Styela clava: one gene and its partners. The protein of the gene in region 2 purifies or fractionates together with the protein of the main gene of each other region. This does not show direct contact. Links are inferred from orthologs where the notes say so. Each region holds a gene or a part of one and is shown on either strand. Other genes may lie near its edges.

What was found. Proteins that work in one complex are often made in the same cells at the same time.
Region 1: the proteins of signal recognition particle receptor subunit beta-like (region 2) and E3 ubiquitin-protein ligase RNF185-like purify together in Homo sapiens (affinity purification with mass spectrometry; 3 studies listed by BioGRID and IntAct, with this or other methods). This does not show direct contact. The link is inferred for Styela clava from reciprocal best matches to the Homo sapiens genes SRPRB and RNF185.
Region 3: the proteins of signal recognition particle receptor subunit beta-like (region 2) and signal recognition particle receptor subunit alpha-like purify together in Homo sapiens (affinity purification with mass spectrometry; 6 studies listed by BioGRID and IntAct, counting the BioPlex papers as one, with this or other methods). This does not show direct contact. The link is inferred for Styela clava from reciprocal best matches to the Homo sapiens genes SRPRB and SRPRA.

What each region holds. Positions count from the first base shown.
Region 1 is NC_135251.1:12,013,890-12,022,086, forward strand, and holds E3 ubiquitin-protein ligase RNF185-like, read right to left. Parts: upstream 3,451-8,197; 5' UTR 3,396-3,450; coding exon 2,835-3,395; 3' UTR 242-2,834; downstream 1-241. Other genes in the region: tumor protein p63-regulated gene 1-like protein, read right to left, coding at 73-198. UniProt on the Homo sapiens protein: E3 ubiquitin-protein ligase that regulates selective mitochondrial autophagy by mediating 'Lys-63'-linked polyubiquitination of BNIP1.
Region 2 is NC_135264.1:14,566,874-14,574,507, forward strand, and holds signal recognition particle receptor subunit beta-like, read right to left. Parts: upstream 2,746-7,634; 5' UTR 2,742-2,745; coding exon 1,950-2,741; 3' UTR 859-1,949; downstream 1-858. Other genes in the region: oxaloacetate tautomerase fahd2, mitochondrial-like, read left to right, coding at 626-697; signal recognition particle subunit SRP54-like, read right to left, coding at 4,147-5,634. UniProt on the Homo sapiens protein: Component of the signal recognition particle (SRP) complex receptor (SR). Ensures, in conjunction with the SRP complex, the correct targeting of the nascent secretory proteins to the endoplasmic reticulum membrane system.
Region 3 is NC_135253.1:18,724,763-18,732,960, reverse strand, and holds the start of signal recognition particle receptor subunit alpha-like, read left to right. Parts: upstream 1-4,748; 5' UTR 4,749-4,834; coding exon 4,835-4,957; intron 4,958-5,834; coding exon 5,835-5,918; intron 5,919-6,538; coding exon 6,539-6,702; intron 6,703-7,493; coding exon 7,494-7,642; intron 7,643-8,198. Other genes in the region: sodium-dependent proline transporter-like, read left to right, coding at 1-2, 623-799, 1,131-1,295. UniProt on the Homo sapiens protein: Component of the signal recognition particle (SRP) complex receptor (SR). Ensures, in conjunction with the SRP complex, the correct targeting of the nascent secretory proteins to the endoplasmic reticulum membrane system.

The DNA of each region.
Region 1 (8,197 bases), on a different chromosome or scaffold from region 2:
TTTAAAAAATGTTAATAACTATAATAATGAAAAAGTATGCTGAAGCCAATATACCGGGAGGTAACAACCTACCCTTGTCGCAAAAAATTTGTCTGCAACATGGTGTGTAACAATTCCTCCTCCTGGTACGGTTTCTCCATTCGGCATAACAGTCACCAAGTCTGGATTATGTGTGGTATGGTCGACAGGCTCTTGCATTTTTGTATTTTATCGATCAATTTTAAAAGTAATAATTATGAACCTATACACAAAACAAAAGAGTGACAATTGGACAATCTGGGAGAAAGCAAAAACGAAATTTTATGGACTGAAAGAGTATCAATCCTGCAATGATAGACATTTATTATAAAATCGACACTTCATTATTTGAATGCAACAATTCTAATTTCTATACATACACCAGGGGGTGCAGCCAGGATTTTTTACCGGGGGGGGGGGGTCACATTGGCATTAAAAATGCAACAAAGGTACAATGCACGGCTCAAACTGAGAATTGTGTGTCGTTACCGGCGGAACGCCATTGAATATATTCCAGTATTGCTTGTAACTCGCCTCGCAGAAATTAAAAATTACATTGCATCAAAAAAATCTTCAAACGGGGAGGTTGGGGGTTATGACCCACGTAACCACCTCCCACTAGCTTCTCCCTGACATACACTACAATCTGTAATAAGCAAGTTCGCACAAATTCAATGAGCATTAGTTAAATAAAACATTGCACAACAAATCTACTCTTAATGTAATATGAAAATGAATTGCATGGTAGCAAACCCAGTATTACCTTATGAACATATAATTCTGTACTTTCATAACAACATTTATCAAAAAAAAAATAATAAAAAACATGAACAGTATTATTATGTTATTCAGTCACAGATAATAACAGCACAGCAAGCATGAAATAGTCCTTATGCGAAATAATAGAAACATCAAAATATACTTGAACACCCTTCCGTTTACTATAACACTTGAAGATACTTTGTGTGAACCAAGGCAGAGGAGCCGTAACATTATGTTAGAGGTAAAGCTAAGCTTACCATAATTGGCTACCCAAAATTTTAGTGGCTTCAGCTCCTAATTATTTATCACATTTATACTTCTTACTCTTACAAATAACAATATTTTTAAAATTCAATTTCTAATATTAATTCAAAGTTCCGAGTTGAACTTGAGATTGATTTGCGTTGATATTTTATGGTAGTGATCAAAACAAAAAACACCAGTGGGTAGGAAGCTGGAGCCCAGCCCTGACGTGAAAAATTATCTCAGTTCTGTGTGAACCACATTGAATAATTTAGCAGTTAGCAACAATCGTTAAACTGCTAGATAAATTCCAGTTACCACCCATACATCTGTTTCAGTAATTCATCAGTCCCGGTTTGTATATTTCTTCCTACTCAGAAAAGACATGATGCAATCCATAAAAAGGCCTAACTTCAAAATAGCTAATCCATGCTAGATGCTATATTAAATCTGACCAGGTAATGGATTAGGATTTTCTGTTATGATTAACACTGACATTTGAAAATCATTACAACCAGGGCTGGCCAAAAACGAATAGCCTACCATTTGCCTACACAAAGTTCTGGATGAATTTAATTTACATATTCCCTATTGATCTCTATCATTCCTATTTATATGGATACAAAAGTTCAAATGACAAATAAAAGTGTTTTCACAAAAAAATAGAGATTTAACTTTTATTTTTTAATGTTCTCTTTTATTAAAGTGATATTGGTCTGATAATATTCGAATCGTTTTCAATCTCCTTTATGCCAAATCAGATGAACAATAAAATTGAACTAATACAAAGCAATTATGATGAGCTAGCGGTATATAATCAATACACACCGAACATTTCCTATTCATTAGGACAGAGACATACAATGAATAAAAATCGCACAATCTGGAATTCTAGTGAAATATACCCATGAATCTTATATGGTTTTTGTGAAAACGAAAAATTAATCGTAAACAGAGAAAGTGAAACAGAGAAATTGATAATGTGACAATCACTCTACAAATTCATGACTTTTTTCAATATCATGAGTTAATCTATAATTCCTATTTATATGATTACATGGGTCAAGTACCAAATAAAAGTGTTTCAAAAGGTTCCGATAAAAATAGGGTTCCAAAAGACTCAACAGAGAAAACAAAAGTTCAGCAAATCGATGTACATGTACACTTTGTGTCGAATTGCGATAGTAGTAGTAGTTTTTCTTAAGCACTATGAAGTATGAATAATATGAAACCGTTAGCTAATTGAAAAATTTGATTTGTAGGTTTTTTTTATCAAACACAAATCCAAAAATAAAGATTTGCTGTTCAATGCAAAGTTGATCGAAGAATGTGTTTGACTTAATTAACAATCAATAACAAAAAAGCACAAGGTAATAAACAACATATTTCGTATCAGCTATGTACATTAATAAAAATCGAACCCCACTGTAACTACGGTAGTTAAAAAATAATTTACGCCAAGTGACGACTATGAAGCACTATACACCATGCAAGACACTGCCTACTTTTAATATCAGATTCTCAGTTGGAGCTAGTTAACCCTAGTGTATGTTATCATTGTATGAAGCAACTCTTATCAATATGTCAATATTTTCAATTACTCGACTTCTATTTTCATTTTTTATTTCACATAATGCATAGCTATTATTATTACGTAAATAATTATAAAGTTCTCAGATTTTAATAAATGAATGTCCTTTACAATTATTCTATTTTAACATAAAATTCTTCAAAATATTTAAAAAAGTGCGGTCGTTTTTTCCCAGACTTACCGTTATAAATTAATTACGATTAAACTGACAATCACAATCTCATGCATATAATAACCAGAACATTAATATACAAGCAATTCCAAGGAAGATTCTCGACAGCATTTGTTCATCTTGATAATTAGGGTTATCTGGCCTCGGAGGGGGAGGTCGGCCGTCATTTATGTTAAAAAACGTTCCGAAAAGTCCAAAGGGAAAAGCACCAATACCGAATGACATCTGAAATCCGCCATCACCAAAATTAAATCCGTGAAATCCATTCCTATTTTCTGGCTCTGGTCTCTGAGCTTGTGGCCTTTTAGGAATCTTATTCCGTGGATCTTCCTGCTTGGTGCTACCTCGTCCGTAAAGAGGAATAACTTTGTCTCTATCGATTCCAGCTTTGCATACTGGGCATTCCTGTCGATGTGGTCTTGTTTCCAACCATTGAAGAAGACATGGCCAACAGAATAAGTGTCCACATAAACTAATGACAGCATCATTAGCTTCATCTAAACATATATTGCATTCAAATTGGCTGTTTTTATTCGCAGAAGCATTAGATGGTTCACTCGATGAATTTTCTCCATTTACTTCTTCGGATTTTGGTGTAGACTCGGCCATTGATATGTAATGTTCAGAAAGTTCTAAGTAATTAGTTTGATTCTGTCGAAAATATTAAGATGATTATGAAATGTCGTAACCTAAGCATTCGTTTTTAATAATATTTGTTCACAGTAAAAAAAAAGTAAACCTAATCATTTGCAAAAATTTACTCCTAAGTAAAGTCAAGAAAAACGACACTCATATAGATGAAAATACATAAAGTTTTTTGCTCTTGTCGCTGTGTTTAATCTTTGGCCATTTCGCTCATTTTAATGCGCATAGCCGCATTCTCTTCTCTTGCCTGATTTGAAACGTACACATTTTAGATTAAAATGGTGTTGTTAATGGAAGTGGTCATGTTTGCTCACTCAAAGGTAATAAATTAATTGAAACATGCGCGCACATACATACATCTATACATACAGACATACAATCACGCAGACAAAATAAAATCAGAAGGGAAAAAAAAAGAAAAACATTAGACCGCCATCGGGTGCGAATGTGGTATTAAACAGTGGAGTACCGGAGTAAGAAATTTCAAGACTAAAACTTGGAAAACCGGACAAACAGGATTGAATACAGACTAGCTTGTATATCATTTATACATTGGAGCTGCTTTAAAAAGATTTGCGTTGATCATTTGTTGACAGCAAGCTCCGGAATGTTGGACTTTGCTAAGACTAAAACATTTACTCCAATTTCTACGTATTCGAACCAATTTTGTAACATACAGACATACGAAGCAACGCCCAAAACTAGTTTTCATGTTTGTTGTTTAGCTTTATTTGTTTACAAAAAACAGCAGCTAATCAATTATTTGTTATTATTGGTATTCACATTTCGGCACAGGCACCGTCACATAACTATTTGTTTTTATATTCTACACAGCTTTCACTCATCAAAATTAGTAAGCTTCGCCCGTGAAATTCATTTTCTGGTGATCATGTACTTCGTTCATTAATTTATTCTAGTATGATTGTCATGATGTGTAATCATTTTCCTGTTTTGCCCATTTTCCCGACCTTCCAGTTGCCCTTGTCTGTGTTTTGTTATTTTAATTTGTGTTGTAGACGAAAGATCGAAATAAGGATAGGATTCACATATTTATCTCGGGAGAGAGGAAAGGAAACAAGACGGCTAATCATATGGCGAACCACGGCAGCACGGCCTCTCGTCCGGTTACCAGTCCAGGTCGGGTATGGGATTAGTTAGCCAGTTATTTTGTTTTCGAAGCATGGATTTGATGATGAAGGAAGCCAGGAAGCAGTAAACGACCAGCGGTTACGTGAACCACCCTATGGCGGTGAGGAGTCCAGCAATCCTCTCGCACATGATCATCCCCGCATCCGCATGGGATTCAAACCTGCGAACCCACGCAGGGTGCGGTACCGTAAATCAGAGATGTGGTGGCGAGTGTATTCCTAACACTTAGCACGATGTGCCACAACGTCGAAGTAAAATTGTACCGCACCGTATATTAAGATACCGGTACCGGTACCGGTATAGACCTACTATTACTGTATTACTTCTGCACTTTAGTACCGGTACTTGGAAAAAGAGAAATAGACAAACGAAACAAAACAAAGAAAGAAAATACAAATTGGGTCACACCATATTCCAGTATTCGGCAGGATGCCAGTATTCAGGTACCGGTACCGTAATACAGTACGGTGCCGGTACCGGTACAGTACCGGTATTACCGTAATACCTAATCTTGTACCGGTAAGGATTGTCGTTACCGGTACCATAAATCTGTAAATGCTGACGGCTTCCTCCACCACCAAGTCCATGCTTCCGAAAAACAAACAATACAGTAAAACTAATCCCATACCCGACTTGGAATGCTAACCGGACGAGAGGCCGTGGTTCGCCATATGCATAAGCCGTCTTATCGGCTTTCCTCTCCCCCTGGATAAATATGTAAATCCTATCCTATCCTGACCAAAACCACGCTTGGGATTTGCCAAATATCCAACTGAAATATTATACGAATCATCGACACACAATCTGAACCTTCAATCACAGTTAACAATCTTACAGATTCTTAGATATGAACAGGATGAAAGCGAGCAGTCGCAGGCATGTGATCAACAACACGTCATAAATTCACAAAAATTGATCACGGTCTGCTCGACAAGTAGAATCACATGAAAGACAGTCATCACTGAGTTTTTTGGTCATTATTGGACACGAAATCTAGATAAGATAGACTTTTCCCCGGTCCTTCCTTGACCCCTGAAATATTCTCCCTGTACTTTGGTTGAGCCTGGCTGGATGTTTGTGACCTGTCGGATATTGGATTAAGTTAGGGTTGCCATATTTTCGTGACATCAAAGCAATGGACCTTTCCCCGAGCATGGACTTCCTTGTTTACTTCGTGACATTGGCCAATCAGCAAGATGCAAAAAGTGACGTAACAATGCCCCCTTTTCGCATTCGCTCAGACACTTTTCTCACTCAGACAGATTTTCAAGCGTGATTGTAAACATTACCTCGTTTTCGCGTTTTTGAACTCTATTCGTTAGTTTTCAGTTGTGTTTTGGGAACTTAAATAAAAATCAGATAATTCAATTCAATTCAATGTTAGTGGAAACAAATGGAATACAAAAATTAGAAACAATCAACATCCTAATTGATGGACAACGAAATAATAGACTACTTTGGCATTGCTGTACAGGCTACCCAAGATTCCAATTTTACATATTTGCTTTGCAAAGAACTAAGGAAAAAGAGATGGACAGGCATTTTCTATGAAACATTGCACCTAGCACACTACAGCACATCACAACGTCGGATTTTATTTACAAAGAGGAAATCAACCAAAAGACATTTCGATTTATTTATTACTCATTCTGACACTGCTTTTATCTAACTCACTAGTTCGCACTTGTTTACGCCAATTTAATAAACACAGCCCGAATCATGTCCATTTCGACGTAAACAGTTTTAAATTAGAACCTACGCACCTGCATTTTGTTTGTAACACAAGTTAGACGCCCGGACGTTGGAACGATAACACGTTCGTGTTTTTATCTTTTTTTTGTAATATGTTTGTGAGTGTAATATCATGGGTGAACAGGCACATGTATTTATACGTGTTTTAAACCCTACTCGAGGTTTTGCCTGTTTTCCCGATTTCCCATTATTCTGTGTGTTTGTTTTATGTGTTCATTATTTGTTATGTGTATGTTTTTTTGGGGAAATCAAAATAAAGATTATTATTATTATTATTATTATTATCACTCTGTCTTTCTAGGAGTTTTAATTTAATTGCAGTAATAAAAATTAGGCTGTGATAGACTAGCCTGAAATTCTTTACCGGTACTTTTAAAAAACAGATTGTTGTATGCGATGAATCATAATGATGGTTTGAAACACATACCCCATTTTACAGACGCCAACTCGCAAAAGCACTCTTGAAATAGCCTTGACAATTTTGCAATGGTAAAGTATAGGGAGAATTTTCCGAGGGTCAAAGGTCGGGGAAAGGTCCATAGACATCAATCATGATGGCCATGGGCCGAAATCTGTAAAGCGCTTAAAAATCGAATTCGTGGTGACCCTCGAGGGGGAACCTAAATTTTGGTGGGTCAAAATGCTAAAAGCCTAATTTACTAAATATAAAAAATTGACATCTCCAAAGTGGAGCATTACGTCACAATTAACGATGACGTCAATTGCCCTTTCAACCCATATATACCATATAATATTCTACTTAAACCTGAGATTTGTACGTACAATACCTTCTATTTTTTTAGCTTTAAATTTTACATTAGGGGCCTACATTTACATCCCCCCCCCCCCCCCCCCACGGCTGTCTTCATTGACTATATTGTCATCGAAAGTTCATGCGACAAAACGTTGAAGTTATTCAATTATGTAACACGATAAATACATCTGCTACAGATTATTACATTAATAAAATTTGCACAGAAATATGAATAAGTTACTCGTTAAATCTTGTATCCATTGATTATGTTTGTTAGCTTCATTTAAAATTCGCCTTTCCGGTTCGTCATGAAAGCGCTCCGTTAAATCTCCCACGTGTCAGAAGCCTAAAATCGACACCGGTATTTTTTTGTTCTTCGTACTTTTTATGTACAGTGGTTATTAATATTTCTCTGTTTATACCCGAGGCCGTAAGAAAACAGTCAAGAACAGTATAATATTCCACGGCTTTCCTTGGCATCCAGTAAGATATGAACCTGATGTGAGCCTACAGGAGGTCACGATACCCGCAACAAAAGCACGGGCCGCAGAGATCTTTTCTCGATTACAGTATACCCAGCGGGATTTCGTGCCTGATTCCAAATCAAAGATGTGTTTAGTTTGTTCCCAAGTTCTTTTCAATACTCACTGCGGACATACGTACTGCAGAAACTTCCTGATGCCTCGTTTGCCTTTTATATTGGAAACGAAACAGAAGCAAAATTCTCACTCGTGTTAATTGTGTCTGAGTATGATTTGGCATGGACCTGCTTTCTTTATATAAAATGTTTTCTGTGTGCTTTTTTACCCATAGACGAACAGTGAGTGCCCGACGTTGTATTTATTGTGCATATATATGTTATTATTTTATGTTTAATTCATGAAATATTTTGCCAATCCTCGAGTACATTTTAATCAATTTCACCGGCCCGTCAGGGTGAAAAGATTGGGAACCTGCTCTAGATGAAGTTGGGACAGACTATTTATTACCACAGCTTATGGCGACCCACTTAACTTTAATTTGATTTTTTTTATGACATAACACAGCAATGGCTAATCATCGCAAAACTAACGTGTTTCCTCGAAATGAAGACCTAGTCTGAAAATAAGAT
Region 2 (7,634 bases):
ACTATAAATTCAAGTAAGACTTAGAAGTTTTCATGAACAATTTCGACAATATCTGCTCGCTTTTGAAGCTATTATAGACTAGTCCACTTAGTTGTAAGATCATGCTCATTATTATGTGTACTTGTTGAATCCCACTATATTTTATTGCTCTAAACCAGCGGGGGCACCATCATGCCAGAAAGCGCAAAACTGATGTTACTTTTACTAGAAAACTCCCCGTCTTGCTTGCTGAGGTTATTTTACAAGGTGCTTTCACTTTGTTGAGCAAGAATTGTTTGAAAATAATAGGATTTGGAATCTACCAATCTAAATAACATCATAAATACCTCTGGAATGATAAACAAGGGGCCATCAGTGCTAAATGCCTCCTAAAGGGGGCCATGAGGCATAAAAGGTTGGGAACCACCGCTCTAAACATATTCCTGTTTTATATCTGCCTAACCCAGAAAATACATTAAATCTCACTCCATATACTCATTCTAACCATTTGCCTCTTCCCTTACCCATGCATGGTCGTCATGGTTACGGCTGGGAGTTTTTGTCGAACTTTCAGTATTTGGGGGCAATGCTCTATCTAAATATAATGAAGTCTTAAATGTTTCATAAATCATGTTGTTTGTTTCAGCCCGGTGATGTGATCACCTGTGAAGTGGAAGGAATTGGGAGAATAACTAATACAGTTGTTGCAGAAGAATAAAAATATGTTCAAATGATTTTATTGAAAAAATTGCAATCAGTTTTCATGTAATTTATGCAAAGTGTTGGCAGAACTGTCAAGTGGGAATTAGTACTTCTTACTATTATTAAAATTTAGGGTTATTTGGTATAATACCTCTAACGAATGTATCAGAATATGGCATGTGTTTTTCCAATGGCCTTAAGATCCTTTTGATCATGATGAAATATATGTATAATACGATTCTGAATTGTGATTGTTGAATCTTAAAATTCTTCTCAATCAATTTTGATTTTCATATTTTTCGCGAAGTGAATTAAATAAGCCTCTTCATTTATCTAGCATGATTATACAAGTGATGATCTCTGTACCATCTCTTTTGAAATAAATATTGAAAGTTCTATACCGCTCTGTTATGAGTTGAGGTAAAAATCATCGGCGAATAAATTCTCCATCTGCGCAATGTCTTGAATATAAATATTACTGATCTTGGTATAAATGTGACTTGATCTTCTTTGGGCACTCATTAGGATTGTAGAAATCTTAGAACAATTTTTAAATCTGTGTCTTCCTGTATATTATGTAGGTGTGAGTCTACTGGTGAAATATTTTTTAGCTATGGTGCTTGTTGGGAGGATTTCATGAACTTGACATTATGTGGTTTGAATTCTCAGCAAAACTTATTGTCTGTAGCAGCCCATAATCAGTGTTTAGGATTACCAATTTACATGCTCAACAGGTTGTAGGGTGGATATGGCCTCTTTTCTCTCCAAAAAAAAAAAAAATTTAGCGAAATGGTCGTAAGGTCATACATGCCCAATGACTAATGTAGCCACACATTTTCCCTTTGGACACCTAGAATTTTTTGAACCAACCTGCTCTGCAGCGAGCATTTCCCCTGTGAATTCTCTACAAGCAAACGTCCATAATAGTTCCTTCTCTTATATTTCCACAAAGAAAAGATTTCTCAGAAATGAATAAAGCAATAATTGCAACTGGGATTAATATAGGTTCACACTCATTCTTTTATTAAACAACCACCAAAAAACAAAGGAAAATGGATTCCAACAATCAGTGAATCCGAATTTCTCAAACTGTGTTCTGTGGAAACAGAACAGCCTCGAATCTAAATTGCTCGATTTTGGGTCATAAATTTGTTTCACAAATGGCAACATACAGGCTGACAGACCTTGAGCCAGTCTATCACCCTTTTCACAATTTCTTGGTGTTCCAAAACAAAAAAAAATTTGAGAAAAGGCTGCTCTATAAACACTCATGCCTGTCTATTTAACCAAAGTAATAGTTCATCAAGTCGAGACTCATTTTCAGAGTCACCTTTAGCGTTGCATTCAATGAAATCAACCTTCAATTTTCCTAAATGAGAAAATTCAAATGGCTTCCCCTTTACACCGAGATGCACAGTTGCTTCTTCTCCATCAATCGAACTCAAGGCCGCAGATCTAGTTTTCCGAACTGTGTTCAACTCTTTTTCTAAGTGATCTTGGATTACTTTTTTTGATTTTGAAGTCAATAGGTCTTGCTTGTTGCATGCAATCAAAAGAGGCGGCACGCATTTCAAGACGTTCTGGTCGGTCAAAATATTAAATAAATACTCCGCAACATCTTTCAAATCCTTAGAAAACGACTCGCTGTCAATGAGAAAAATAATTCCTTTTGCAGTATCTTTAAATTGGTCAAAAAACTTTTGCCGGATTGCTTCTTGGCCAGGGATATCAATGATATTAAGAGCTCCTTTTTCTGATGCGTACGTTGCTTGATTTTCTTTCAACGATGTTACAGTTTCAATCTCCTGTCCAGTTAGTATTTTACTCAAAAGATAAGTTTTCCCGGCACCACTCAATCCGACGAATAAAATTCCACGTCGCTTGACTTTTCCGCCAGCAACTAGTTTCCATACAAGGTAAAATAGGAGAGAAATAATGAACGAAACTCCGAACACAAAATACAACATGTTTTCCTCTCCCACATATTCCTGACAAATGTCTAAATATCGTTCGATTGAGTATGACATGTCAATGATTGGTTCACAACATCTATAGTTCATAAATCTGAAATATAGAGACAGTTTTCTTGATCAAAAAGCCGTAATATACATACACAGAATAATGCAACAATATTTTTTAAAGGTAATGTGCACTCTTTCAAAAATGTGCAAGTCTACCAGTTACTTTGGTCATCGCTAGGGATGCAATGTGAGAGATTGGGGTTTTAATCAAGTCAATTTATTATGGTATTGGAGCGAGAATTACTTCTATGATTCACAGCAGTGGCTAATTACACCACGGCGGTAAAAGGGTTGCAAAGTATTTATTTTTCGCCATGAAAATTTTCGTGACAAGAAGGTTCAAAATTTTCAACCCCTGAGTCTCGTCTGTATTCTTAATTAGCTCAATTAGGCCTCAAGGGAGTCCATAGCCATGCTTGCTATAGTATCACTCAGCATGACTCACTAACACAATTGAGCATGTAAATAAAAGTAGTCGCAAGAATAAATAATGAGAAAATATTTTAAATTTAATTGAAACTGGTCCTGGCTTGGTGATATTCAGACCAAATCTTCAAAATTTACAAAAATGCGACTGTTTAGTTGTCAAACTAAATTTCCTCGTTATTGTCATGTCCATAATACTCTGCTTGTCCACAGCATTGTAAGAATGAGATCATGAGAAAAACAAAATATTATGCAATCTCCACTGCTTAAAAAGGTATTCTCCAGTACATATATATATATATATACAAATTCCATATATTTTCACAAAAATATCCGGCGAATAATATTCTGTCTCATTTGCAAACACATGCGCCATGAAACAAAACTCATAATAGAATAAAGAATAAAACTGGCATGATTTCCTTCAATCACATGAAATAAATGTACAATAAAACAAGAAATCTTGTTGATTCACAGCAACACCAAAATTCCCATAATGAAAACAAAAATCAAGAATTTATCCTTGTATTACCGGTACATCAGTAATTAATATCGATCCGGTTTTCCTCTATATCCTAATCTCTAGAAAACCAACGATAGTTTAAAATCTGCTTACAATCCGATAAAAAAATTCAACAATGACATGAACACATAAACAATAGGAAATTTACATCATCAGATCACATCATTTTCAACGTTGGGTCAAAATCCTTGGGAAGTTTGTTCCCTTATATTTGTACAATTGTGGGAACCCCGGGCCTAGAAAGGACCATTGGGAATAAATCCTATTTATTGGCATACTCTTCAACATCATCAATTATTAAAAAAGTGAAGCATAAGAAAAAATTAAATATCCAATGAGCATTATGAGTTTAAACATAGCAAAACACTGTAACTTTTCATATATAGCCTAAGTATGCTCAAGTAATCTGGTGAGCTTTCATGCAAGCCATATTCCAATTGCGATTTTAGTCTTTAGAATATATTATTTTAAATTGTATTCTTACTTATAAATCAATCATTTGCCACCAGGCCCTCCACCCTGTTGAAACTGTCTCATCATGTTTGTGAGTCCCTGCATGCCACCCATTTGATGCAAAACCCTTGGGTCCATCATTTTTGCCATATGCGTATTAAGTCTGGCCATCTGTGACGGGTTAACATTTTTATCCATTCCGCCAGGTTTAAAAAGTCCTTTCATGCCTCCCATCTTTTTGACCATCTGCGCGAATTTTCCATATTGCATCATAAGCTCGTTGACTTCTTTAGGTAGCGTACCAGAACCCCTCGCCACTCTTGCGACTCTACTTGGCTGCCTAGTGAAAAGTTTAGCTCCTTCTTTACTGTCAAGTTCATCATCTGTCATGCTGTCCATAATTGTCATGAGTTTTTTTAGTCGTTCCATCGAGTCCTTTTCATGTCCTTTTGTCATGAAATCGTTAAATCCTGGTATCATACTCATAATTTGACTGAATGGCCCCATTTTCATAATATTTTGAAATTGTTCGTACATGTCTCGTAAAGTGAATTGTCCGTGTTTCAATTTGTCTAATAGTTCTTCATTTTCATCCAATTTCAGTTCGTTAACTTTGTCGATAAGGCCTTCAATGTCACCCATATTAAGAAGTTTTCGGATAAACGGTTGCGTTTTAAACATTTCGAAATCGTCAATATGTTCACCAGTACCTATGAAAATGATCGGTGATTTTGTAGCTGCAACTGCGCTAAGTGCACCTCCACCTTTCGCATGGCCATCAAGTTTTGTAATGATAACAGAACAAACATCGACTTTTTCCTTGAATGCTTTTGCTTGCGATTCGCATGCCTGTCCAATTGTGGCATCCATTACAAAGATGACATTATCAGGCGCAACGGCATTATATACTTGTAACATTTCCTCAAAAAGAGCATCTTCTTGCTTGTGTCTTCCACTTGTATCGACAATAATGATTTCAAAGTTTTCTTCTTTGAATTTTTCTACCCCCTCTTGCGCAATAATCACAGGATCAGCTTCAGTATAACTGCCGTAAAACGGAATACGAGCTTTCGTTGAATTTTGTTTTAACTGATCGAAAGCTCCGGCACGAAAAGTATCCGCACAGATTAGACATGTTTTCCAATTTTTTCGCTGATAATGATACGCAAGCTTAGTACAAGTCGTTGTTTTTCCACTACCTTGAAGACCAACAAACATAATTACATTAGCTTTACCTTTTGTTGGCTGCCATGCTTTGGTACCTGGGTCGACAAGTTTCACAAGCTCCTGGAATACAGCGGATTGAATCATTTTACGCTTGTTCAAACCAGATGCCATATCATCGAAATCAATCGCTGAGCGGACATTTTCTCGCATCTGCTTAACGAGTCGAATGTTGACATCTGCTTCGAGTAAGGCTCGACATATCTCCCCGAGCATTGATTGTAAAACTTCTTCATTGATAATGGTTGCATTGCTCAGAGAACGCAAAGCGTCCGTGATCTTTCGACCAAGATCTGCTAACACCATTTTGCTGCTTTACTTCTTTTCTCCAAATTAATATTATAATCTATGTTTAGATCTATCAACTGTAAATTGTATAAAATTTACTGATAAATACTGAATTAAATTATATGTTTGGGAATTCAATCTAGTAGGCATAAACAACAAACCGGTATTTCGGTTTTTTAATATTCAGATATTTACAGATTTACCAAGAGGCCTTGTCCCATTGCTAAGTCATTTAAAAAGTTGTAAAAAGTCTGCAAGTTGTGAATACCCAGCATGTACCGGTAGGCTAGGCATTGAATTCATTTTCCATTAGAAAGTATTTGTTACCAGTTCATTTAGTTCAACATACTGACATGGTCTGATGGTGTCAAATCGGCTATTAAAAACTGAACCCATTTCCTGATTTCAACATTCCGATTCTTAAAGATGTAATCTATGTACCGTACTGTAATGCTTAAGATACCGAACTGCAGTTCCAGTCTTGATAATCTAGAATTTTCTAAAATTTAAACTAAAAAAAACAAAAACTCAGAGACGCAACCTGGAAACGGGAAAGCACCGACAAGAACTTCTCCATTGCTTCCACGATGGCTTGTATTGCTGATGACGTCCATCGAAAAGCAAGCATATGGATGGTTGAGTACCAGTCAGGCATATAAAGAAATATTTTTTTTACCTTTTTTGACAGATAAATAAATTTAGGAATTTCATTTGTAATAGTTCTGAGGTACTTTTTGTCAAATGTTAGTTACATTCAAACCCATGCATCTGAAACAAATACACGTAACCGGTTACCGCCTTGAACCACTAACCGGGAGGGAAGCCGTGGTTCGCCGTATCGACTATCTTCTAAATTGAAATAAAAATGTGAAATTCCTATCCTATTTGAATTATTTATAATTTAGATTAGTTCTCAGGTTGCTAGATTTTAAATTTCAACAATGTTCTCAGAAAATGATTTGATTATTACTTCATAATCTAATCCATTCTGACGACACAGAGGAAACTGTAGTTTCCATGACTGCAGTAGAATTGAAATTTTTCTTTTGAATGCTGTACCGAAAGAACCTGGAGTCAAATTTTTATTTGAGTAACTGAAATAAATGTGAGTATCTAACATTATTCTATAAGCAAGAAAGATGCTGATATTGGCGAAACCTCTGGAGAGCGGTGTACGTGTGTTGACTCACATTCCGCCAACTAACGTTATGTAATATTGTTTTATTTTTATAAAAATCTACTGAAAAAACATGTCATGTATCTGGAATGTTAACTTCATACCCGAACTCTATCAGCTTTTCACTTCAATTTATCAACTTCTAAACTAGTTTTGCTTTGACCTGTTTTACGCACGTTTTAGGTGTTAGGGCCACTCTTGCCATCGCTCGCAACCTGCTCTGTTTCGTAGGTTATGTCAGGTTAGTATTTGATATTGTTTTAGCTTGGTAGTTTGCTCATCGTGGCGAATGTTTCAAATACATTCTAGCATTTGCTTTCTTTCGGATTCCTCCCGTGTGTTTTGCGTGCTGCTGTGTAAAAAAGAAAGCGTCATTAACTTTACTTGATAAACTTTAAAACACATTTATCAGACTACTTATTACCCTGCGAGCTAGAGGATTGTTTGACTGACTCCTCGCTATCCAATAGGGATTCACATAGCCACTCCTGCTGCATCTTTCTTATTTTAATCGTTAGCTATTTTCTTAACCGACTTGAAGGAGAGGCGACGTTTTCTATTAGGCTCCCATTATGTTATCTTGAAAATATGTCGCCAAACATTGTGGATTAGTTGGACGAATTGTATCCTTCGTTTCATTTTGTTCCGAAAATTTATATAAAATTAAATTCGTAACATCGTTTGTGAGATGTTACGTTGAAGCGAAAGCTTGGTAATCTTTAAATTATGTAGAACGGCAGTTTTAAATATTGTTGCAAAGACGCACTACGTGCGATATACCCTTGACTATGCACGGGAATTAGCTAGATAGCTCAATGGTTTACGAATTTATGTTCCATAG
Region 3 (8,198 bases), on a different chromosome or scaffold from region 2:
TGGTAAGTAGCCAATCAGTGTGAGGCTAGATTTTAGTAGGTTCTAACTATAATATTATACCTCTGTCATTGTCTGATTTCAATGGGGCAAAAGGCAAAAATGGAAAATAGACTACAAAACACAGTAGATGAGAGAATTTGCTCAAACTAAAGTCAATGCAAAGTTACAGGTAACCACTGGAATGCAAAGAGACTACAATTTCATGTATGAAGGTGCACTCACTCAAAGGGAAGATACTCTTCTTTGAGCTAAATCACAGGGGCTAATGCTATGCCAAGAGTTATGACTATTACTTTCAGTCCTGACACTGGGGAAATAGTTGTCGAAATGAGGTGGAGTGATTTTCAAATTAATTTACGGAGTCGAAAGGTCATTTGATTGACACTACAAGAATTGAAAGTTGAATTTTAACATAAACTGAACTCGAAGATTGCAGACGATATCGTAGCCGAACTTCATTATTATTGAGCCGTATTGTTTGTATCTGGAGTCATAATTCTGAATTTTGTTTACCGGAGTCGGAGTTTCTGAGCATATCGAAGTCGAATGGACATGAAACCATTCTCCAATAATAAAGGCCCTGAACTTCCAAGTAACTGAAAACTAATATCTCAATTTACAGTTCGTCATTGTGATGGCATGTCTCAGCTATGGACCGATATCGTTGTCTGGAGAAGTATATCCAAAATGGGCGGATGACCTTGGTATGTGCATGTCAGTTACAATTGCAGCGGTTGTGCCGATATATGCAGTATATGCGATGATAAAAGCTGTGGTAAAAGGGGATTCGATTAAAGATGTAAGTATGTGTGCCGTGTATGCATTTGGTTTATCTCAGGAAAAGGTGCAATAAAATTTTTGATAATACGAGCCCATGTGGAATTCATTTGACTTTAATCCTTCCACTTCTATAGTACGCAATAGCTCCTGTCCCAACTTATATGGATATCAATCGTCGTAATCTGTTACATGTTAAAATAATTCTGCAAAAATACAGCAAAAATTAAACCACTTCCAATACAAAACTGCAAGTTTTTGATTGAAGTACCTTGTTAATGGTACGTGTCGCACAGCCATTTAAAACATAAAGTTCGGTCACTTTTTATCGGATGCCATTCTTATTGTCACAGCTGTTCAAGCCGGACCCATCGTTCTGTCCAGCTGATCGAACCATTGCTTACGATCATCTTCATGGAGCTGTGAATGATCACAAGATGACTGCTTATGCCGTCAGTCCGTCTTCTTATCAACAGAAAGTGGATGATTCAATTCCAAACGCTTATCCTGAATTGTAAAGAGATACGTTTCTCATAATATCTAGTCCTACTAATACTGAAACTTAACTCCCCTAAGTCAGCAGTAGAATAGTTCTAAAATATTGCATTAAATCATTTCTTTCTACTTTTTCTATGATGTAAAAAAGGATCGTAAATGAGAAATACGCGGCCGCGATATTGTAACTCCGTTATCAGTAAAAATCAGACTATCGGAAAATCCCCTAGGATAATTACATATCAAATAATATTAATAAGCTGTAATGGGCAGTAAATAAATATATAAAAGTGATTTGATGGTAATTCGAAGGGAAATTGTACAGAAAGAAATCTACCGCTATCTACACTATTTCCTTCGCTCGAAAGTGCCGTTCCACTTTATTTTTATATTTATTATGTGCGGTGGGTGTATTCAGTATAACGAAAAAATAACTACTTGTTACTAATCACGACTTTTCCTACGTTCTATGAATATCAAATTGACAACGGTGAAATATACTGAAAACGGTGATATATACTGAAAATAGATGTATAAAAAGTTCATTTTTACTTTAAAAATAACGTATAAGCTTGATTTTTTATGAATGAAGCGAAAACGAGTGTAAAAATATTTGTTTTTTTTTGTTTGCTGTTGTATAGGTATTTTTATACTATACAGTGCATACAGATAATGTAACATAGTAATTTTTATATATTCAAATATATGAATAAAATACATAACACTTTGCACAGTAATGCATCTTTATTTCTAATCGGATTGTAAAAAGAGCGGCAAAATATACAGTAGGTATAAAAATTTGCCAAGAGACAGGATTGAAGTTCATTGAATAATAAATTATTTCATTATAAATAAGCGCACATGATTCAACCGAGATTGACAAAAGTTCTATTGAAATAGCAAATAATATTTATATACATAGATATGACGGATATAAAAGAGGTCTAGCTATATTAACAGCAACACACTTTGGTATTTTGATGTTCTAGGTATTTTTCTTCTTCATTGGTGTACAATATTCAGTTTATAGTGACATAAACAACTGAGTTGCAGATTGCTACAGAGAGTCGAATAAGTTGAGTGAGAGCATTGCTATATTTTGTTCATTTATATATAAGTGCAAAGAACACGACGAACCACAAAATTTAGAATAGGCTGAGGCGGCCCGAGCAATCTTCCCATCCATCTGTGGCTCTCCAAGTGGCCACGTGACGCCTTATTTCATAGCCAACAGCAAACCAGTGCTCACCGGGGATCTCAGTAGTATTGACTATTGCACATTTTGACACTACAGAATCCCTGTCTGTGGCGCGAATCTCTTCTTGAATATGGCGCAGGAAAGCTTCATATGAAAATACACCTGCGAACCAATTTCCCGTGGAAAAATTATCAACGGCGTGATGGAATATTCTTGAAATCTCTTCATAATCTGCCCTCCCAGATTTTATGAGATTTGTGATACTTTGGAGTAAGGACTTGAAGTTCCCATCCTTCGCTCGGCCCAGGCAATGTCGCAGTAATTGCTTTATGAATTCGATAGTAAGACGATGTTCGTGGCCCATGTTGCCAGTCTCTCCGGAAGCATCCACAAGAAAATATTTCAATTCTCTAATTCTTTGAAATAAATTAAATGCTGCATCGATAGGTGTCAATTGATGTGACAAATGAAAATTAACATCGAGAAATTCGATGTTTCGAACGATTTCGCAAATTTGAACATCATTAAGACGAATCGCTCCTGTGTTGCTGTGTAAGCCGATCATGTAATTAAACATCTCTATCACTTTATCAGGAGTATTAAAAAGTGACGGGTTCGATAATTCGATTTCCCAGTCAGGTTTACGAAGAATGAACGCACTACATATTGAGATATAACCGCATTGATCTCGTCCTTGTTCATTCGGGTATAATTTCACCTGGCCGTCAAAATACTCCAGACCGATTTTTAATAAACGTTCTCTCAGAAGATTCAAAGCGTAGTGCATAGGGACCGAGTCGACTAATACGAACGTCCCTGAATATTGTACCAAGGCATCACTTTCCGGCTGTATTGAATGACTGTGCAATGTTTGAGTTTGTGCAATAGAGTTATTGGTCGAAATTACGGGTATTGTGGTTTTCCGATGCATGGAAGCGCACGTATTCTGGTTCACACGTATGTCCCTGTGCAGTGTTTGCGTAACAACAGAGTCATTGGTTAAAACTTCGGGCATGATATTTTGCCTTTCCACATATTCGCCCGAAGCGCTTGGATCCGAATTGTTTTCATCGTTCCGATTAATAAATCTTAGCCCACTAATACAATTATCTGTTTCATCGCTCTCTTCGTCTGCCCGTTTCGCTAACAAAGCAAAGTTTGCATTGTCATCACTACTTTCTGAATGTGTACGTTCATGGGCCATTGCGAAAACAGCTCGAAGTTCAAACCAGTGACTGAGACACCGGCCTTGCCGATAAGGGACACGTAAAATATCTCAATAGCACAATGAAACATAATTTCCTCCACACGCACGAACTTGTCCAACTCTAGCCCTAAATCTGTGACTGCTTTCTGAAACCCTCTGTGCCCATTGGTATTTCGTAACAAAAATTTCACTTCCTGTTTCATGTAGGTGTCACATTCAGGTAAGATCCGTTCTGGCTGAGTGAATAAAACTATACGCACACACACAAATATCCTTCGATACCGCCTGCCATTTAAATTTTGCCAGACGATAAATAAACACAGTATAATAATCGCTAATTCATTTATACAGTGCCATTGTATAAAATAATATAGATGGATGGAATTTGATTTTATGCGTTCGTAGGCCGTTCTCATTACATACAAAAACACCACAACACAAAAGCAATGAGTAACAGAAGGGATTTGAGAAAATTTAGAAACACATATTTTGCGATCGACATCGTCACACTATTGATGACCGGTGACTTTTCAGGTACCCATGTACTCTCGAAATTTCCGCGTGAGTTTTTATTCACTATAATATTATTCTATAAGTAATCATTATAATCATTTGATCTAGTTTCATTTTAATACGTGGGTAAACACAAAAATGAAAAATATCATTTCGTTCGATAACGAAAAACAAAAAATGGTGGACAACCGCAAGATGCTTAATTAATCTGGCATCATCTGAATTTTCTAACATATGGTTTTAATTCAACAATATGACGTTGAATATTTCGTGTCATATCATAATCGAAATAATATAACACGCCTAGTAGAACACGCGTCCAATTTCCCTTTTGTAAAAAGTAAAATTTTCAAAAAGAGTTTTGCTTAATAAATACGAATATGTTTTAAAGGACACAAAACAGATAAAACTTAATTTAGAATTAATTTTTAACACGTAAAATCAAAAATTTACTGCGTGCTCAAAATACATTTTAATAATTCACCTAATAAAAAATATCAACAGGAACACTAATTTTTACGCGTGGGGTTAATGATGAAATTTTCTTATTGTGGTTATCTTTATTCAAAGCGTTATAACAAGCTTATTAGTCCGGCTGTTTTCAATCTGGTATATTTCCTACTTCGGGACTTAATTTATTCGAGATGTTGGACTTTTTTACTATTTTGAGTAAAGGTGGATTTGTGCTTTGGTGTTACACTTTTCAAGGCATCAAGACAAATATATCAGAGCCAGTTAACGCCCTGATAAAAGGTGTTATTCTTCAGGTAACGATTGGAATTTTTTAATTCTATGCATCTGCGCGTCAAGCACAACTAGGTACCGTACCGAGCTAAGGATTATTTGAAATTCCAAGTATAGAATTAGCTACTACTTTGTTTTTGTAATTTTTAGTCAGAGGCAGAAACCAAACACCTACGAACAGTACCGGTAACAATGTTTCAAATCTGCAAATCAGAAATAGGTAGTTAAAGTTTGATTGTTGTATACCGGTACCTGTCCGTACCTCCTGCCAATTTGCCATTGTTTAATGTGTAAATAAATGCTGGAATGAGGGGTATAGCGAAGTACACGCCGTACCATACTGCCATAAGTGTCTAAATAATGCCAAACAAGAATGTTATGTGAAAATGAATGCTGTGAGGGCTTAAATAACGCAAAACGAAATATAATATCTGAATGTAAAAATAGAACCCAAATTGCAATAAATATACTGGTAAGTCTGTCATGTCGGAACGCACAGTACCCATCTGGCATGCCCTGTTTAGTTGAAAATTGAGTGGTTTTGATTTGACTAAACGTGTCTGTCAAGAATTCTATTCTTCACAAAACAGATGTTTTTAAAAAAACACCAAAATTTCATATCAAATTTTTGTTTGGCATTATTTGACTAAGCAGTTTTGGGATCTATTTTACATTACATTTGTTTTGACGTTATTTAAACACTCAAGGCATGTACTTTGCTAGACCTGAAATGGGAGTAGTGGAGCTTGGAAAATTCATTCCCATATCATATTTCAAATTTGCATCATTTTCCAGATTTTCCCAAACTTTTTTGTGTTCATTGTTTTTTGTATGGTTTTTTTTTTTTCGGGGAAATTGAAATAAACTTATACTATACTTATCAATTCTCCATATTTTCAGGAGCGAGGTGGAAGTTCTCGCTTTGATCATGGATCATTAACATTAAAATATAAACTTGACAATGAATTTGAACTTGTGTTTGTGGTAAGTTGGATAATTCATTTTGTATATGCTTTTTACCTCAAACCCAGCCCAGGTCTAGCTTATCAGAGGGATTTCATTTATTTTACAAAGCTTGCTTACATCATGAAGATTATGTTTTTAATAATTGAATATTTTTTGTTTTATTCATGGCAATGTTGAGTTTTGTAGTATAGATTAAATTATATAGCAATGCGGGATACTAGGATGATAACATAATATCAGATATGACCATCTCTGTTTATGGTATCCAAATCTATTAATATTCATATTTTGTTGATATCATACATGCCACAATCAATTTATGGATTGCTGTTTCGTTCACAATAAAACTACACCATTTCTCCTTTCTGATTAATTTAAATAGTTGGTCTATTTGGTATTTGTATATACATCATGATTTACAGAGAAAAAAACAGGATTTTTATCATCTGCATTCTCAAATATACATATTATCCCAGAACACTATTATTTTTAAACTTCAGTATTTATTTTTATATTTCTCTATTTTAGCATTCATGTTTTACATTCGTAGTTGGGTCCCATGATCCCAAGTTTCGGTTTTTCCAGTTTTAGTTCTGTGATCTCTGGTTGACTTGATATGTTTTTTGTTTTGCCATTAGGTTGGTTATCAGAAGATTTTATCTCTGACGTATATTGACAAATTTATCGACGATGTCCACCGTACTTTTAGAGATCTTTACCGGCAAAAACTGGAAAATTCCGGTTTTATCAAGTTGATCAAAGAGGAGTTTGAATATGGAGAAAAATTTCTCAAAATGTTAAAGTAAGCCCATAATTTTTTTTCGAGATTTCCTTATCACTATGCATAGCAGTTGCAGGTTCCAATCTCGTAATGAGTGAATATGCATGATTGGATCACTGGAATTTCTGACAGATTTTATCGCCCATGTCTCTGAAGTTTATTTACATCCCACTTATTCACGAATTATGCTCCAAACAAGTTTTTTGCGGGCATCCTAATATCTAATGGTATGTAGGGAGCCATTCTTTTTGTAAGTACCAAAATCTGTAGAATTTGGCATTGCCTATCAATTTATTACATACTGTGTAAGACAGTGGGCACAGGGTTCAATCCCAAGATTTTTAACCTGTGATGTCAGCAGAGTTGAGTCTAACTCAGGCGGGTAAGGTTTTTAACCAGGGGCTGGTGGGTCATGTAAGTGTGACGTAAAAAGTTACATTTTATGAACAATATTTACAGTGTTACAAAGCAAAGGTGGAAAACAATATGCCTCATGCGAAAACTAAATTTAACCGCAATCTCAACAAATTCCTTGAGCTATTTTTAGCTAAAACATTAAAATTTGATTTCAGTTTGGTTGTGGCAGCTTTAGGCGGGCCAGATTGAATTACGTAACGGGCTGGGTTTGGACCACGGGCTGTACTTTACCCATGTCTGGTCTAACTGCTTTGGCATGCCTGAGATAGGGGACAACTTTTTAAAATGAATATGGCCCTCTCGTTGTGTACATATATTCATATATCTGTCCATGCTTGTCTTATTGCTAGTTTTAGTCGAGTTATAAATGACGTTAAATAATGATATTTCATCAGGGCTGCTGAAGCAATTAAAGTGCAAACTAAAATGAAGGATTTCCATGAATCTGAAAAATCTAAGAAAACTGTCAAATCATTGAAAATGGACAAGAAAGAAAAAGATAAAAAAGTTGAAAATGAAGTTGTTGCTCCAGTTGTTGCTAAAGGTTGGATTGTTAATCGATTTTTACCCTCAATGTCGACGATTTTAAACTAATTCCAAATTGTGAAGTATCATTCTTGAGTTCTATCATCCATTCATATAGGATCCCAACCCCTTTCCTGAAATTCCTCTCTCACTGAGCATAAAAAGTACCAATTTATTCAATCTTTAATTGATTCTTAGCTGGTGTTATGCACAAATCACACTTCCTGTTTTTGTACAGTCCAGTTTATAGTGTATGAAAAAATAGGTATTATAGTAATAATAAAGAACTAAATCATTTTAGTATTCCCCAGGAACGCCGAAATTCCTCCCTGGAGAGATTCTTTCCCGATTGGGAAATGTGGATAAATATATTAGACTATGATCCTATATCTTGATTATACAGGGCGTCCAAAAAGTTTCGCCCGATTTTATGGCAAAAACAAATGTAAATTCAAATAAATTTTATTGTATGATAGTTGATAAGTACAACATCCAACATCTATAACATCCAATTCAATACAGGTTGACTATAAATCTTTTCACAATTAAAAAATAAATTATCATTTGGTTTTGAA